2 linked regions of the Mytilus edulis genome follow. The protein of the gene in region 2 purifies or fractionates together with the protein of the main gene of each other region. This does not show direct contact. Links are inferred from orthologs where the notes say so. Each region holds a gene or a part of one and is shown on either strand. Other genes may lie near its edges. The genes, in order: isoleucine--tRNA ligase, cytoplasmic-like; glycine--tRNA ligase-like.

The links.
Region 1: the proteins of glycine--tRNA ligase-like (region 2) and isoleucine--tRNA ligase, cytoplasmic-like fractionate together in Homo sapiens (co-fractionation; 3 studies listed by BioGRID). This does not show direct contact. The link is inferred for Mytilus edulis from reciprocal best matches to the Homo sapiens genes GARS1 and IARS1.

What each region holds. Positions count from the first base shown.
Region 1 is NC_092344.1:112,851,790-112,860,101, forward strand, and holds the start of isoleucine--tRNA ligase, cytoplasmic-like, read right to left. Parts: upstream 3,275-8,312; 5' UTR 3,141-3,274; intron 792-3,140; 5' UTR 781-791; coding exon 662-780; intron 253-661; coding exon 96-252; intron 1-95. UniProt on the Homo sapiens protein: Catalyzes the specific attachment of an amino acid to its cognate tRNA in a 2 step reaction: the amino acid (AA) is first activated by ATP to form AA-AMP and then transferred to the acceptor end of the tRNA.
Region 2 is NC_092345.1:85,539,664-85,547,885, reverse strand, and holds the start of glycine--tRNA ligase-like, read right to left. Parts: upstream 3,730-8,222; 5' UTR 3,689-3,729; coding exon 3,458-3,688; intron 1-3,457. Other genes in the region: tRNA N6-adenosine threonylcarbamoyltransferase, mitochondrial-like, read left to right, coding at 4,033-4,268. UniProt on the Homo sapiens protein: Catalyzes the ATP-dependent ligation of glycine to the 3'-end of its cognate tRNA, via the formation of an aminoacyl-adenylate intermediate (Gly-AMP).

The sequences.
Region 1 (8,312 bases), on a different chromosome or scaffold from region 2:
TTGACCTTGGAGTGAAAAAAATCTACCTTTCCTACTAGTACTAAATTAAAGGGGTGTCTAAAACTATCATACGATCAATATCCTGCATTACTTACAACAGGGAGACCATGGCAATCCCATCCAAACCTTCTCTCTACATGATATCCACTCTGATGGGCCCATCTTGTCATTACATCTTTAATGGTACCTGCTAGAATATGGCCATAATGAGGCAAACCTGTGGCAAAAGGGGGTCCATCATAAAAAGTATACCTGTTAAAAAAATAAGATGATCACATTTTATAATCTTTCAAAGATGATCTAAAAAATGCATTCCTGTTGAAGGTGTATTTTAATTCACTAAAATGGTTTTAGATGTAGGCTTTAGCTAGTGAAAGATCAATATTAAAACCAAGTTTAACCCACAAATTTCTTTAGAACTACCTGTACAAAGTCAAGAATATGGTATTTGTTTTTCACTTGTTCTGTTGATTGATAGTGTTTTATTTTGCTAGTTTTTAGGGACTTTTCTTTTTGAATTGCCTTGGAGTTTGGTATTTTTATAATATTTTTTTTTATATAAAAACTTGAATGTATATCCCAGACATTACACCAAACAGATGATAGTATGTTGTTATGTTAATACTGCAATGGCAAAAAGTCTGGATACTAAAACACTTACTTTGGTTTCCCCTTTGACTGCTTCAGTGATGTTTTGAATGCATCAATTTCTTTCCAGAAAGCCTGAACTTTCTCCTCTTCCTGAGGAAATGAAATCTTCTCAGGAACTTGTTGAGCCATTAACTCTAGTGCTAGAAAAATTAAAGCATTTTCTGTTTTACATAATTCAGAAGTGACCAAACACCATTAGCAATAAAGAATTTAAGGAAAAAACATGGGGAGAAGCAAACTAGCCTTCTTCAGTTACTAATACCTTCCTATCAGGATTTCTTTGTTAGAGGGTTGCTGCTCACAAGGAAGCTATTAAACAAGAGTTCCAAATGGGGATTTTCGAAATCATCCCTTCCTAAATTTTATGGACGCCATCAGTTAGTTGACCGTAATGGAATATTCGTTTTACAGATGTTATCAGATATGAATGTGACATACTGAAGTAGACTTTTTACAGGGTTATTAATAACATGAGCAACATGACCAGTCTGTGACAAAAAACATTTTAATCTACTTGTATGGACACTTAATATGGGGACGAAGACCCCTATTAAGGTACAAAAATCAATAAAAAAAATAAAAAAATTTAAATCGTGAAAATTTCCCTAATTTTTCAATAACAGGCTATTATTTGAACTTGGAATTATTTTTAATTATGGAATTCGTATAATTTCTTGTGTTTAAATTTTTTTATAAATTCCATGTTTATTTTGTATTATGATCTTTTGAGCAGTTAATAACACTTTCCATACCATGTATTTTGGTTAGATAGTGTTGTGCGCGGCACAGTACATTCTATTGAAAATATACTATTTTCTCTGTAATAGAAAGTGTTGTGCGCAGCACAGAACATTTCAGTACAGAATAATTATGGAATTTATTAAAAATTTCAATAACAAGAAATCAAGCAAATTTCATAGTTGAAAATAATTCCAAGTTCAAATAATAGACTGTTCTGATATACATGTACTAATGAACTCAAAATCATTAACTTTTTTTTCAGACTTTTTTAAATTCACGCATTTGCACAGAAATCTACTTCCTTTTCCAGTCTTGTTTGCATGAGACTTTGAAAAAAAAAAAATTATCAGTCTAGTAAAATATAGGATTGGAACTCAATACCAATTCAATTCTAATAATTGTTTGATATGAAAAAACGTTACCTGATGAAAGCGTTTCTTTGTTTACATTGAATATGACGTCATAATTTAAATAATGTCACAACTAACTCTTTAACAACAGAACCAAAATCTGAAACGTTACGGTTTCTGTTTCTATTATCAACATGTTTGAATTAAAAAAAATAAAATCATACAGACTTCGCCCCCATTCACAGGTAATGCCTGCCTCATATTATCAAAACTTGTCCCTTTGACTTCATAGAATTTTGAAAATGTTCACTAGTTCAAATCAATATTTACTAGTCTGGGGCACCAGACTAGTGGCTAACGGTACAGACTGCATGACTTGTGCCACATGTGGAGCAGGATCTGCTTACCCTTTCCGAGCACCGGAGATCACCCCCAGTTTTTGGTGGGGTTTTTGTTGCTTAGTCTTTAGTTTTTTATGTTGTGTCTTATGTACTATTATTTGTCTGTTTGTCTTTTAGCTCTGGTTTTGTCAGTTTATTTTCAATCTATGATTTTGAATGACCCTTTTCGGGCCTTGGGTATCGTTCACGCTTCTTTTACTGCATAAATAAGGTGAAAGTAAGACCAATTTGAAAATAAGAATTGATCTTTCCGCCATATGGATAGTATCAAATGAACTTGATATATTTTGTCAACATTAAGTTCATCATAAGGAATTGAAAAATATGGCCGTGTTTACACCTCAAAATTTACTATGAGTACAGACAAACTGGTACATCTAGGAAAGTTTTAAGGCATGGCAGGAACTAGACAAGTAAAAGTTATATGAAGTCTACATTTCAGAAAATTAAAAACTTGCATGGATTTTGATGTCCAGTTTTTTCCAGTCTGCAGAAGATAGCAAAATAAACAAACACCTGAGTTTCATGAGATACAGTCCACTCAGTTACACAGTTTAAACCTGTTAAATCACCTATTGTTTACAGGTGTCTATTGTCCATTTAAATCAATTCTACTCACAACATTGATTATATGAGGGGAGCTTCTCAATCGTTTTCACTACTTAGTTAATTTTTGCACCTTCTGCAGGAACGAAAAAAAATGGATAGCAAAATCTAGAAAAGTTTATAATTTTCTGAAACACAAAATGCATTTAAAATTTATATATCTAGTTCCTGCCATCCCTTAAAACTGTTGCAGGTGTATAGGTTAGTCTGTACTCAGAATAAAATTTGGGGTGTAAATAGTACTAAATACGGCCATTTTAGCCAAAAGGTTATGATGAACCTTAAGGAAAATTGACCAAAAAGAAACTGAAAGATAATAAATCGCCAAAATCTGCTAGATTTTTTTTTTATTTTCACTTTTAGCTTTTTCGTGTTAATAAAATAAACTTACTTTCATTAACAATTTAAGTAATTGACAACTTTTCACTTGCACTTTGTTGTTGAATACCAGATAAAAATAACTTTTCAGCCGGTTGCATCAGCACATGTTGACTTGACCGGAAATAATGAAGTGAAAGAAACAGCTAAATAACCTCCTGTATAAATCCGAGCCTGGGCCCAACACACGGTAATCGGATATTCAAAATTCGTATATATTTTCATAAAAAAGTATTGATACAAAAAACAATAAAAAAAAAAAAAAAACTTTCTCAAATTTCACAGAAAAAGAGCCTGTATTACAAATCCTTGAGGGCTAGATATTGTAACCGGAGGGATTTTTACGTTGAGTATTTCTGTGTCAACTTTTACATATTTTACCCCAGACCGTGTAAAGAGTAGGTATCGGAATCCTGAGTCTCTGATCCTTCGTATGTGGCTTTGTAGAACTTAATAATAGCAAGTTTTCATAGTTTATTATAATAAATTACAATTAAGCAAATCTCAACAATATTATAAAGATAAAAGTATTCAAATGTAAATAAGTTAAAACTCACATAAAAGTGACAAAATATGGCGAGGTCTGTGCAAGACCAGCAAGACTGAAGATAGACATTTTGTTCTATATATAACAATGTCATCTTACAGTTAGTGGGTAAGGTCTGTGCAAGACCATCAAGCTTTCTATATGTAAAGCTATACTGCAGAGTGACTAGTGTCGACAAGCAGTGTTGCGTATCTTTTCTTTCATAAAAGCACTTACCGTAAAAATAGTCTCTTTAATAGACTTTGGCTCTCTAAATGATTAAGCAATTTAACAATTATTAATCTCGGAACTAATTTTACAAGAGCAAGATAAATAGAAAAGCTCTATAAGTAAATGATCAGTTGCAAATTTATCAAAATCTGTGAATATCTTCAACAAATTAAAGCACAATAAAGTAAATAAATATTATGACATGTAAAACAATCATTTTCATCAATAACTTATATCAACAGTAATATCTAAATGTTAATTTCACAAGTCCATTTTCAAGGGAAGTAATGTTGTCTTAAAAACTGGCTCTCCGCCACATTCCTCCCAACTTAAAAACTGAAGCCATGAAGTTTAAAAACAAGGCAGGTATGAATGGTTCTAAATTCTCCATTTAAACACAGCGATATTCTTTCACATATATTATTTCACGGTATTCTTTATATTGCACACGAAACACAATCGAATTCCTTCATCATTCTAACACTAGAAGTGCTGATCAGGTCATCTCCAATATTAGTTCTAACACACGTACATTATGTCATATCATCACCCTCACTGTAAACAAGTGCTGAAAAATTGAACAACAAAATTAAACAAATAGTTACACTGAATCGTCACCCAGTAAACTGTTGTGTCAAATGCTATAGAAATTGTGTAACTGTCTAAGAAGTAGATATTTTGTATGAGTTTAAGAGACATTTACTATAGAATAAAACAATCATGCCGCGACCAGCTCTTTTTAACAGGCCCTAGCGATATAAACGTGAGTCAGAGGCTCATATTGGCGTTTTAAAACACGTCAATCGTGCCGAAACAATCATGTTCGCAGCCTAGCTTATATCCACATAAACATAATAATCTTGAAGCAAGTTAGCATAAAATAAAATGATGTAAGCGACGGTCCTTTAAATGGACCAAAAGGATACAACAATGTTGTTCCTGTCGATTCATACACATTCATCTTGAGCTATGTATAATAACTGAATGTATTAAGATAATATGATTAAAATATACCATTCTAACTAAACAATCTAATTTAAGCTTTACTCCCATTTAAACCATTTAAAACTTCATCATCTATGCAAGATATACACCCTATAATTATCAATACATACTTTATCTCTGCCATTCTATATAATTATCAGTTTCTGTAAGCTAAAACTGAAATTGTTACTCATCATTATTTCATACATATGATAAAGCATGACAATGTCTTTTCAAATAAAAATAAACATGTAAACATAAAACATCAGTGAACAGTGTTTCTTTAATGAACTCTGTTATGTGAGAAGTAATTTCTACTCACTTACGTTAAACAAAATGAAATACATTGTAAAAGATTTAAATTTCACAATTTTAACTTACATATTTGATTGTATAAATAGTGCTGTAGCCTATGAGAAGATCAGATGTTTCGCCTCAGGATCCCACCGCTGCCACCAAAATGTAACCGGAGGGATTTTTACGTTGAGTATTTCTGTGTCAACTTTTACATATTTTACCCCAGACCGTGTAAAGAGTAGGTATCGGAATCCTGAGTCTCTGATCCTTCGTATGTGGCTTTGTAGAACTTAATAATAGCAAGTTTTCATAGTTTATTATAATGAATTACAATTAAGCAAATCTCAACAATATTATAAAGATAAAAGTATTCAAATGTAAATAAGTTAAAACTCACATAAAAGTGACAAAATATGGCGAGGTCTGTGCAAGACCAGCAAGACTGAAGATAGACATTTTGTTCTATATATAACAATGTCATCTTACAGTTAGTGGTAAGGTCTGTGCAAGACCATCAAGCTTTCTATATGTAAAGCTATACTGCAGAGTGACTAGTGTCGACAAGCAGTGTTGCGTATCTTTTCTTTCATAAAAGCACTTACCGTAAAAATAGTCTCTTTAATAGACTTTGGCTCTCTAAATGATTAAGCAATTTAACAAATATTAATCTCGGAACTAATTTTACAAGAGCAAGATAAATAGAAAAGCTCTATAAGTAAATGATCAGTTGCAAATTTATCAAAATCTGTGAATATCTTCAACAAATTAAAGCACAATAAAGTAAATAAATATTATGACATGTAAAACAATCATTTTCATCAATAACTTATATCAACAGTAATATCTAAATGTTAATTTCACAACAGTCCATTTTCAAGGGAAGTAATGTTGTCTTAAAAACTGGCTCTCCGCCACAATATATATGGTTACATGTATTTGTTTTAGAAAATTCTATTGATTTTTATAACTTCTTGAACTCTTCAAGAACATTGATAAAATAAATCTTTAGGATAAAATCTGACATGAATTGTACACATAAGAGCACTAAAAAGGCAATTTTTGATATGATTAATATTTCGAAGGGGCATAACTCGAAAAATTTATTGATCAAATTCATCCAAGAAATTGTTAGACTTGTTATATATACCTATGATTTAAGTTTCATAAAATTCTGGCAAGAATTGTACATATGAGTGAGCAAACATAATGCAATGCTCCATATAATTTATTTTTCCAAGAGCAATAACATTTTGAACAATTATTGATCCTCACTGATTTTCGAACTCATTTAAGACATTGCTGATACAAACCTATGGTATAAGTTTCATTATTACCAGACTTAACTAATCGATCAGATCGGTAATCGAACACTAATCAATCATATTCGATCAATACTCGATTGATGACTTGAAGTCATCGATCAGTAATCAATCAAACTCTCTCAAGAGTTTGATCGATTAGTGATCGATAAGATTACTGATCGATTTAAGACCGATTACTGATGGATTAGTGATTGATTAATGACAGATTAGTGATTGTATTGTTATTGAGAAAACAATGCTATTCCAGAAATAAGCCTTATGAGAGACATCATTTGTGAAATAAAAGTTCCATTGAAATGTTTTCACCATTGCTAAAATTTTCTGGAATTCTAGAATTTAAAATCATTTTACTGCTAAGAAGATACTGGAATTTTTTTTCATGATGTTGTCAATATGTCTGGAAATATGAGTGTAAAGGTTAGAACTAATGCCTATGGAAGACATCAGTGTTTATTTTTTTAGTCTTGAATTTATGTTTCTGTCTAAATATGCAAAAAAATCCAGGATTTACTCAGCAATACATGTTTATATACAATATGCAGTCGTAACCAAGAGAAACGTATCTAAAAGCTTAGCCCTAACATATTCCTGATTAAAAACTACATTTTTGTAGGTTTACCTGTGTATATTAGTACAATAACTATGACGTCTTGAAAGGCTATTGTATTTTTTTCTTTTACGCCTTTCATTGACATCCAAGATGTTATAATTATTGATATAAAAACTCTAATTTTTATATGTGTGCAATATTACTTCCATGGTGCAAGTAACAAATTTGGTTGTAGAGGGGTCTAAATACAGCACAAACTACATTTTCCAACAGACCAAAAAAGTGAAAAAATAGATTTTAACAACAACATTTGACTTGAATATAGTAGTATATATATACTTCCTTGGTTTGATAAATATTTGATGCCTTTTAAGTTAATGACCTTTGTTAACACATCAAAATTAATTTTGACATATAATATTAGCTTCAGACACTTGTGATGTTATTAAAAAGATGAAAATTTCAACCAAGTTAATATATATTAAAATCTGTATTTTTCATATATAAGGATTAATCAACACAAATAAATTGTGCAATTTGATATATCCTTAACTTTATGATGAAATTTAGGGTTTGTCCTATAACATTATTAACTAATGCCAGATTTTAGGTCAAAACTAAATAGCCAGAAAATTTACCAATTAACAGAAAATTGATACATCATTTATTCAAACACACTTGTTTGTCTTCACAGCAGGATATTGTCTAATTACCACAATATTGTAGAAGACTGACCAGAAATGACCAGCTGTGGACTATGACTCTTCTTAGGATTGCAAAAATACTGATAAAAATAAAAAGATTGTTATCAGTCAGTAGAAAACTGTCTATTGACTTTTGAATTTACATACAGAAGATCCCCCCTTTTTTCTAAAATTTTAAAATAGTCCTAATACAAGGCAATAGTAGAGTATTTGTGGTTAGTGTTTTATTTTCACATGAAAGCATATATTACTAAAGATAAGTAAAATGAATATGAATAAGAAATTAAAGATGTTTTTAAAAAGAATTGAGTATGTGCCTGCTGAGTGTGCCTGTCACAAGTCAGGTGCCTGTAATTCAGTGATTGTCTTTTTTTTTATTATGTGTTACATATTTGTTTTTAAATAAATAAGGCCGTTATATCCACCTATGATTGTAGTTGCATAGTGCAACTACAAATCATTGTTCTGGCCTTCCTTTGATACTGTGTAGCAATGTTTAGATTTTTTCTGGAAACATGTTGATTAAAGGGAAACCTTCAGCAGAGACCACTCCTTCTGTTTGTCATTTTTT
Region 2 (8,222 bases):
ACTGTCCCATACATGAATATATATGGTTTAGGGGTTGGGATCTCATTGGTTTCCAAGTTCTCAAACAGGAGGGATAGGGTGACCCCAGGGACTCCATCTATATTTCATTTAATTAGTTATATAGGCCCATACATGAATATATATTGTTTTGGTGTGGGGATCTCAACCGTTTCCAAGTTCTCAAACAGGAGGGTTGGGGTGACCACAGGGACTTCCCCTATATTTTATTTGATTTGTTATATTGTCCCATACATGAGTATATATGGTTTAGGGGTAAGGATCTTGACCATTTCCAAGTTCTCAAACAGAAGGGTGAACAGTGACCTCAGGGACTCCCCTATCTTTCAATTGAATTGTTATGTTGTCCCGTACATGAATATATGGTTAAAGGGTGGCGATCTCAACAGGTTTCAAATTCTCAAACAGGAGGGATGGGGTGACCCAAGGGACTCCCCCTATATTTCATCTGATTTGTTATATTGTCCCATACATGAATATATATGGTTTAGGGGTGGGGATCTGAATCATTTTTAAATTCTAAAACAGGAAGGGTGGGTGACCCCCAGCGACTCTTCCTATATTTCATTTGATTTTTCATATTGTCACAAACATGAATATATATGGTTAAGGGGTGTGGATCTCGACCGTTTTCAAGTTCTCAAACAGGAGGGGGTGGGGTAACTCCAGGGACTTCCCCTATATTTCATTTTATTTATTATATTGTCCTATACTTGAATATATGCAGGGGCGGATTCAGGAGGGGGGGGGGGATGCGAGCTTGCATCCCCCTTAAATTTGCAAAGCATGGGTTGTTCTCAGCTTAATAATGAATATTCCGATAATTTTACCTCAAATTTTTTTTAGCCTCGCTCTGCTCTGGGAACAGTATATCTAATATATAATTTTAATATATATGTTCCTGCTCTGCTCGGCGAAAATTTAAGTTTGTGCCCCTCCTTACCTAAAATGCTGGATCTGCCCCTCATATGGTTTAGGGGTGGGGAACTCGACCGTTTCCAAGTTATCAAACAGGAGGGGTAGAGTGGCCCAAAGAATGCCTCCTATATATCATATGATTCACTTACATTTAGGTATATATAATATTGTTGCATTATTTGTGAAAATAAAGAAACTTTTAGCTACTTTAATTGACCCTTCAAAATTGAATAAAACAAATAACGCTTCAAAATTGCAGTACTATATTTACACTTTAAAAGCATCTCACATGCATTATCATCATTTATCACTGATAAAGAAAATATAGACTGTGACCATGAACATGTATATTGTTAGATATACTGTTCCCAGCTGTCACGTTGTATTGGATTTTTAAATTAAAATTTGTCAAAAAGTAATTTTGAGTTTCTGTATAAAATATTTTTCTGCTTTTTCTTTCTTTTACATATATCTTTTGGTTTACAATTCTAGTGTTTATATTCATTTACCATGCATAGATTTATTTTTTCACCTGCTTTGATTTATTTTGTAAATGATCGCTAAACCCGGAATTATCCTTATCCGCTTCCGGAATCGGATCCGATATTGTAAAATTTTGTCTTCACGGCCGCCATTGTTGTGTTTACAATGTTGTTTTTGTCAATCAGATACGATTTTACTCGAATTTATACAATATTTGTCGGCGAATATCTGTATAAAGCTAGCAGTTGAACAAAGTGAACATCGCTGTCATGAATAATAATGATAAAAATAAGTTTTTAGCTCGTTTAATTGGAGACTTTGGTGACTTGCATGGAAGGTTTGCAAAGTAATTTCTTATTTTCTTTCAAGTGGAAGGTGACTACGTCGGGCGTAGCTAGAAACCCACTATCCTAGTCGAAATTCCGCTTGCAAAAGTGGAAGGTCGCGGACCTCGGACCACCGCTAATTTGCACACCTGCCTCCAAATTGAAAAGCTACGAAAATTTCTTTTTCTAATTTGAAATTGCCGCCAACAGCATGAACAGTTGAACTTATTATATAATAGACTACTGACGTAATTGTACTACGTATTGATGACAAACAATATCCCTACGACTTTTGCCATTTGGGAAATCTAAACTACTTGTCTTAAGAGATTTTCGGCGATTAAATATTTCATACAATTGTTCTTTGACATCTTAGCCAAAAGCACAAGTCATAATGAACTACACAAGGATTCTTAATAAGCACTACTTCCTATGTGTAACTTCAAAACTTTTGGATAAATCGACGATCATTTAAGGTTTTTCTGGTCATATTTTTTGTAATCCAGAATAAAAAGTATTAAAAAAGTGTTCAATTAGTTATATATAACATAGTAGCGAGCTAGATAATAACAATGGCAAGTTTTTCAGCATTTAATGGGTAGAACACAAATCTAGGGCGCTCGCATAATGCAGCTTAACTGCATAAAAACGAGAAACAAGAAACACTTATGAAACACAAACCACACCAACAAACGACAATTATGCACTGAACATTAGGTTCCTGACTTAGGACAGGGGCAAATAAATATAAATGCAGCGGGTTTAAACATTTTGATAAGCCGATGATATTACATGTTTTTAATATTATAAATACGTAGTAAAAATAAATGAAAAGCTAATATTCTCGTACTATAAAAGTTTATCCTAACATTTAAACAATTATTTCGTTTGTTTATATTAAGATGCACGATGTCAGTATATTGCCGGTGGCATTGGGTATGGTTGTATAAAAAGTATACATGTCAGCATCATCATTTCCTCTCGGATGTTAAATGTTAAATATACAGGGAGTCCTTAATTGGTGAATTAAAATTTTTCTTCCGATTTTTCTATTCTATAAGATAGGCATCCGACCCTACATTTACCTGTAATGTTTCACATGCAAGTTAAAATTAGTCCTACCACAGTATAAGGTTTTCAATGCTTTGCAATATGCTAATCCTTCGATTACAAAAAAAATCTATTTCCTTTTCGGTTCTTTTCGGTTCTTTTTGGTCCTTTTCGGTTCTTTTCTGTAAATCGTCGCTCTTTTCTGTAAGTCGTCAAACCCCTCTTAGGCAGTCAGTGGGCCCCCACTTATGAAAATTTCTGTCATTTTTGAGGGCCTTTCAATTTTTTTCTATCAATATTACCTTTCTTGTCGCTAAAATAGTTTCCTTTTGCATATTCTTTTAATATTTATTTGGAATAAGTAACTTTAATAAAAAAAAATGTTTTCTAGTCCCTAAATAGTTTATTGCATTTGTCGCTTCTTGTCTCTAGAATTATTCTTCTTGTCGCTAATTAGTGAGACCGATAATGATTTTCAAACTTGCAGCAATAATTCCATTTTAATAACTGAGTATAAATACCAATTTATCAGTATAGCTGTGTCAACATATTAAATTGAGAACCTAAATTTTCAACATATTTTGTAAAATGTAAACAAGTCCATGCTAAGAAATTTGAAAAAAGCAAAAGAAACCAGTGATGAGAGAAGGATAATTTGTCACCTGTTCTTTTACTTGTTGTCTAAAAGGCTGCAAAATTTTCTCGATTTCTGGATCTGTCAATGCCATCATCTGTACCATATGCTGCAACTTTTTTCCAAATAGCTTCTTCTGATTTTTAGATTTACAAATGCACGGAACGCTAAGATGTATGGTGCGTTTATTTAAATCTTCTAAAATGGAGCCACTTAACCTCCTGCTTATCTTAAAGACACAAGAAAATAGTTGTTTCATAGAGATTTTGTCATGATGCAATTTGCCACGGAACCGGAAGTTCAACAGTGAGGTTCAAAGGAAATGTGAAATTCATCGAACATCTTTTTTGAAGCAAAAATCATAATCATAAAATAAAAGCAAGACTTTGTATCCATGGACAATATTGAAACCGTGTTTAAAGTTTTCAACTTAGTCTTTGTCAGTTTTCATGAACTTCTTAGTATTTTGTTTTTCCCCTCACGGGTCTCAAGTTCTGATTTCCAAGATGTCTGCGCCCATGAAACCAGGCATGAAATTATTTATGAAGGATGAAAATAGATTTAGACAATATTAGATAATTAATATCAAATTAATTCCATACAATGTTAACTTTCAGTAGACTTACATACATCCGAAATATAATAGGACAAGCGAAGAAAAACAAAATACTTGATGCCAGTTTTCGAGTTATTTCCCTTAGGCTTAGGAAGGTTGGAACACATCCAAGATTAGTCTTAGGGATTGAAACAAGTTGTGATGACACAGGTGCAGCTGTGGTTGATGATAAAGGGAACATACTTGGTGATGCGCTTAACTCCCAAACAAAAGTGCATGTGAAGTAAGCAGCCCTTGTACAAATGTTGTAAGAGGGGGTGATGGGGTAGTCCAAGATTACTCTGACGTCCAACTACTGTTTTTGCCAGACAAGCTAGGGTCGAACAGCCTTTGGACGTCAGAGTAATCTTGGACTAGTGATGGGGGTACCTCCATGACATATTTAAATAACAGTAGAAATTCATGCAAAATGACATTAAAAATAAATTTTGGTGACCGTCAGTCACGATCATGTGAAACTCAACTCATTTCATTCATTCAAGAGCTTGCAGCAAATAACAACAATAACACACAAATAGACTTAATTATAATGTACTTTGCCAAAGGATTTGACAAAGTCCCTCATAAAAGACTTCTATACAAACTTAAATATTATGGTATTCAAAAAGAAACACTCCACTGGGTCGCTGCCTTTTTTAAATGACAGAACACAAACAGTTGACCTGGATGGAGAGTCATCTGACCTGGCTCCAGTCAGCTCAGGTGTCCCTCAAGGCACAGTCCTGGGCCCAGTATTATTCTTGGTATATATATCAACGACCTACCAGAATACCTACATGTATACCGACGACAGTATCATCTACAAAACCATCAAATCTCAAAGTGACTGTAATGCACTCCAGTTAGATTTAGAAGCAGCTGCTAGGTGGGAGCAAGACTGGTTGATGGCTTTCCATCCAGACAAATGCACAGTTCTTACAGTCTCACAGAAGAAAAACCCATTTAAACATGACTATATCCTCCACAATCACAAACTGGAACTTGTCTCTTCGGCTAAATATCTGGGCATTACACTTCAAGCAAACCTAAAATGGTCAAAACATACAGACAACATCATAGCTAATGGCAACAAATCTCTGGGCTTCTTAAAAAGAAACTTAAAAACCTCATGTCAGAACATCAAAACTCAGGCATATCTGGCACTAGTTCGTCCAAAACTGGAATATTCATGTTCAGTGTGGGAACCTCACACAGTTGAACAAACCTCCAAAATCGAGATGGTCCAAAGGCGAGCTGCCAGATATGTCTGTAACAGATACCATAACATCAGTAGCCTGACAGATATGATAAACACCCTAAACTGGCCAACTCTACAGGAAAGAAGAACACGCACAAGATTAATAATGTTCTACAAAATAATACATCAAATCGTCGCTATACCATCTGCTATTCTCATACCATCAGACAGTAAAACCCGCAAAAACCATAATTATACTTTTAGACACTTTTCAACCAAAAAAGATACATATAAATATTTATTTTTTCCATATACCATAACTCAGTGGAACTTATTGCCAATGCAAACAGTCGCTGTCGCCACAGTCGACACTTTTAGAGAACAGCTCACACCAGCTGTTCTCCACAAATTCATTTAACTCATTATTAGCCTATGTACATAGTTTTAATCACCTTTTTAAAAAAGTTAAATTACGCACCTCAAATTTATTTCCATATACTTTTTGTCTTTGTCTTTGTAAATATATATATAGGCCACGCTGCGCGCGCAAACAGTAAATAATCTTCAAATCATTGAAGGACTACTGAAAACCTAAAGAAGAAGAAGAAAAATAAATTTTGGTGCATATTTTTTTGGCACTGGCTACGGTTACATGGAAATGTAACAATAATAAAAATATTATTGTTACTTTGAAGACTAAATGCCGGAATGCATGGTTTGGTAAGGATCTGTTTAATTACGAATGTAACAATAATTATTGAGGCTACGGTTACATAGGGTTATTGTTACATGAAAAACAGCAATGTACGATGGGACTAGTAATATGTACTAAATAATAAAAAATGAAGAAATTTATTTTATATTTGCAATACATGCATTTATTACATACAATTTATTTACTGTAATTTTTAATTTACAATGACAATTTCTACAAATCTAGTAAGTGGTTTTTAAAGTCCAACACATTTTTGATGAACAAAATTGCGTCCTCCACAGTTACGTGTACATACAGAAGTTCTTAGTATTTAAGTTACAGTTAGCAAACTTTGCTTTTGATGTATCAATTTGGGTCAAGTTGTATAGCTGTATGAAATTTATGTCTTGATTTTGTTTAAGTTTCACTGGTTTAAAACACATCCCAATTTTTAAAGATTTTCACCCTAACAAAATTGGTTCAAAGTATAATGACAGTAATAAGAGTAGGTGTGCAGTTAAATACTTTAAAAAAGTGAAACCATTGAACTATATGTTTCGCCTTTGACACTCCTAATCTTGAGTAGTATCTTTAAGAACATCAAAACCATTAATACGTAAAACTATTCAAGTTAAACACCATTTGATTGTTGAATAATAATATTTATTATTTATCAGTATTATTTATCAGTATTACAAGTATTGTTTAGTACATATAATAATAATAATAATAATAATAATAATCTTTATTTCAAGAGGGTATGCTCAATTAGTACAAACACTATTCTCCCTTGAGGCCCTCACACTCCACTCACAATGCAATTCACACAATTTCTTCATAACAAAGAAAAACATTAGAAAACATAAATCAAAGTTGATACATAGTCATTTAAATATTTCCTGGATTTTCAAGTAAAAACTTAAAGCAGTTTGTTTTAAAAGTATTTATGTTTGACATGTGTCTTAGTGCTTCTGGTAGTTTATTCCATAAAGTTGGGCCAGAATATGAAAAAGATCTTCTAAATGTGTTTGTTCTTGCCTTTGGTATATTAAGTAATTGGGTAGTATTTGATCTAAGTTGCATTCCATTTTTATTTGAAACATAGGAGATTTTGTTAGACAAATATTCTGGAACAGATCCATATAAACATCTATGAACATATAAGGCCTTGTGGTAAATCACACGATCAGTAAATCGAAGCCATGATAACTTTTTAAACATTGTATTAGATGGGGTATCATAAGGAAGTTCAAGAATAATTCTAGCTGCTCGTTTTTGAAGTTTATCTAATCTATTTGTATTTTGGTCACTGGTGTTTCCCCAAATTGTACAACAGTAATCCAAAATAGGGAGAATATAACCATTAAAGTATAACTTTCTTGTTTCAAGGGGTAGGGATTTCTTTATCCTAGACAAAAGATTTAGCCTTGTACTGATTTTTGTGCACAAAGTGTCAATTTGGGCTGTCCACTCAAGATTTTCATCAATAAAAACCCCAAGGAGCTTTTCACAATTATTATTAACATCTCTAATGTGTGAGTTACCAACACTCAAATTCAGAACATGGTCTGTTTTTGCTAGTTTCTGTCTAGAACCAATAACCATAGATGTAGTTTTTGTTGGATTTATATACATCTTATTTCCCTTGCACCATTCTTCAATTCTTTCTAAATCATTTGTAATGCTGTCCTGGATGGTATTGAGACTACGACCTGTGCAGTGAATGGTAGTATCATCTGCATAGAGGTCTGCTTGAGATGAGGTTATATGAAGGGGCAAATCATTAATGAACAATAAAAATAAAAGGGGGCCTAATATGGAGCCCTGAGGTACTCCAGTTTTTATTTCTAGTGCCCTTGACTTAATTGTCCCATTTTCCACTTGTTGGAATCTATGAGATAGATATGATTTAAACCAGTTACATGATAAATTTGAAATTTTGTAGCACTGCAGTTTTTGAAGAAGGATAACGTGATCTACCAGATCAAATGCTTTTTTAAAATCTAGGAAGATAATACCTATAATTTCTCCATCATCAATTGCTTTCAACCACTGATCAATAAGTTTTAGTAAAGCAGTATGACAAGAGTGGTGGCTTCTAAATCCAGACTGACTTGCATGAAGGAGCTTATATTTTAATAGGTATCGGTATAGGTGTTTGCAGACATGCTTTTCAAAAATCTTTGACATAGTAGGCAAAATAGATATTGGTCTATAGTTGTCGACAGTATCTTTAGGACCCTTTTTATGGCTTGGCATGACACGGGCATTTTTAAGCTCAGAAGGAAATATACCAGCAGTGATAC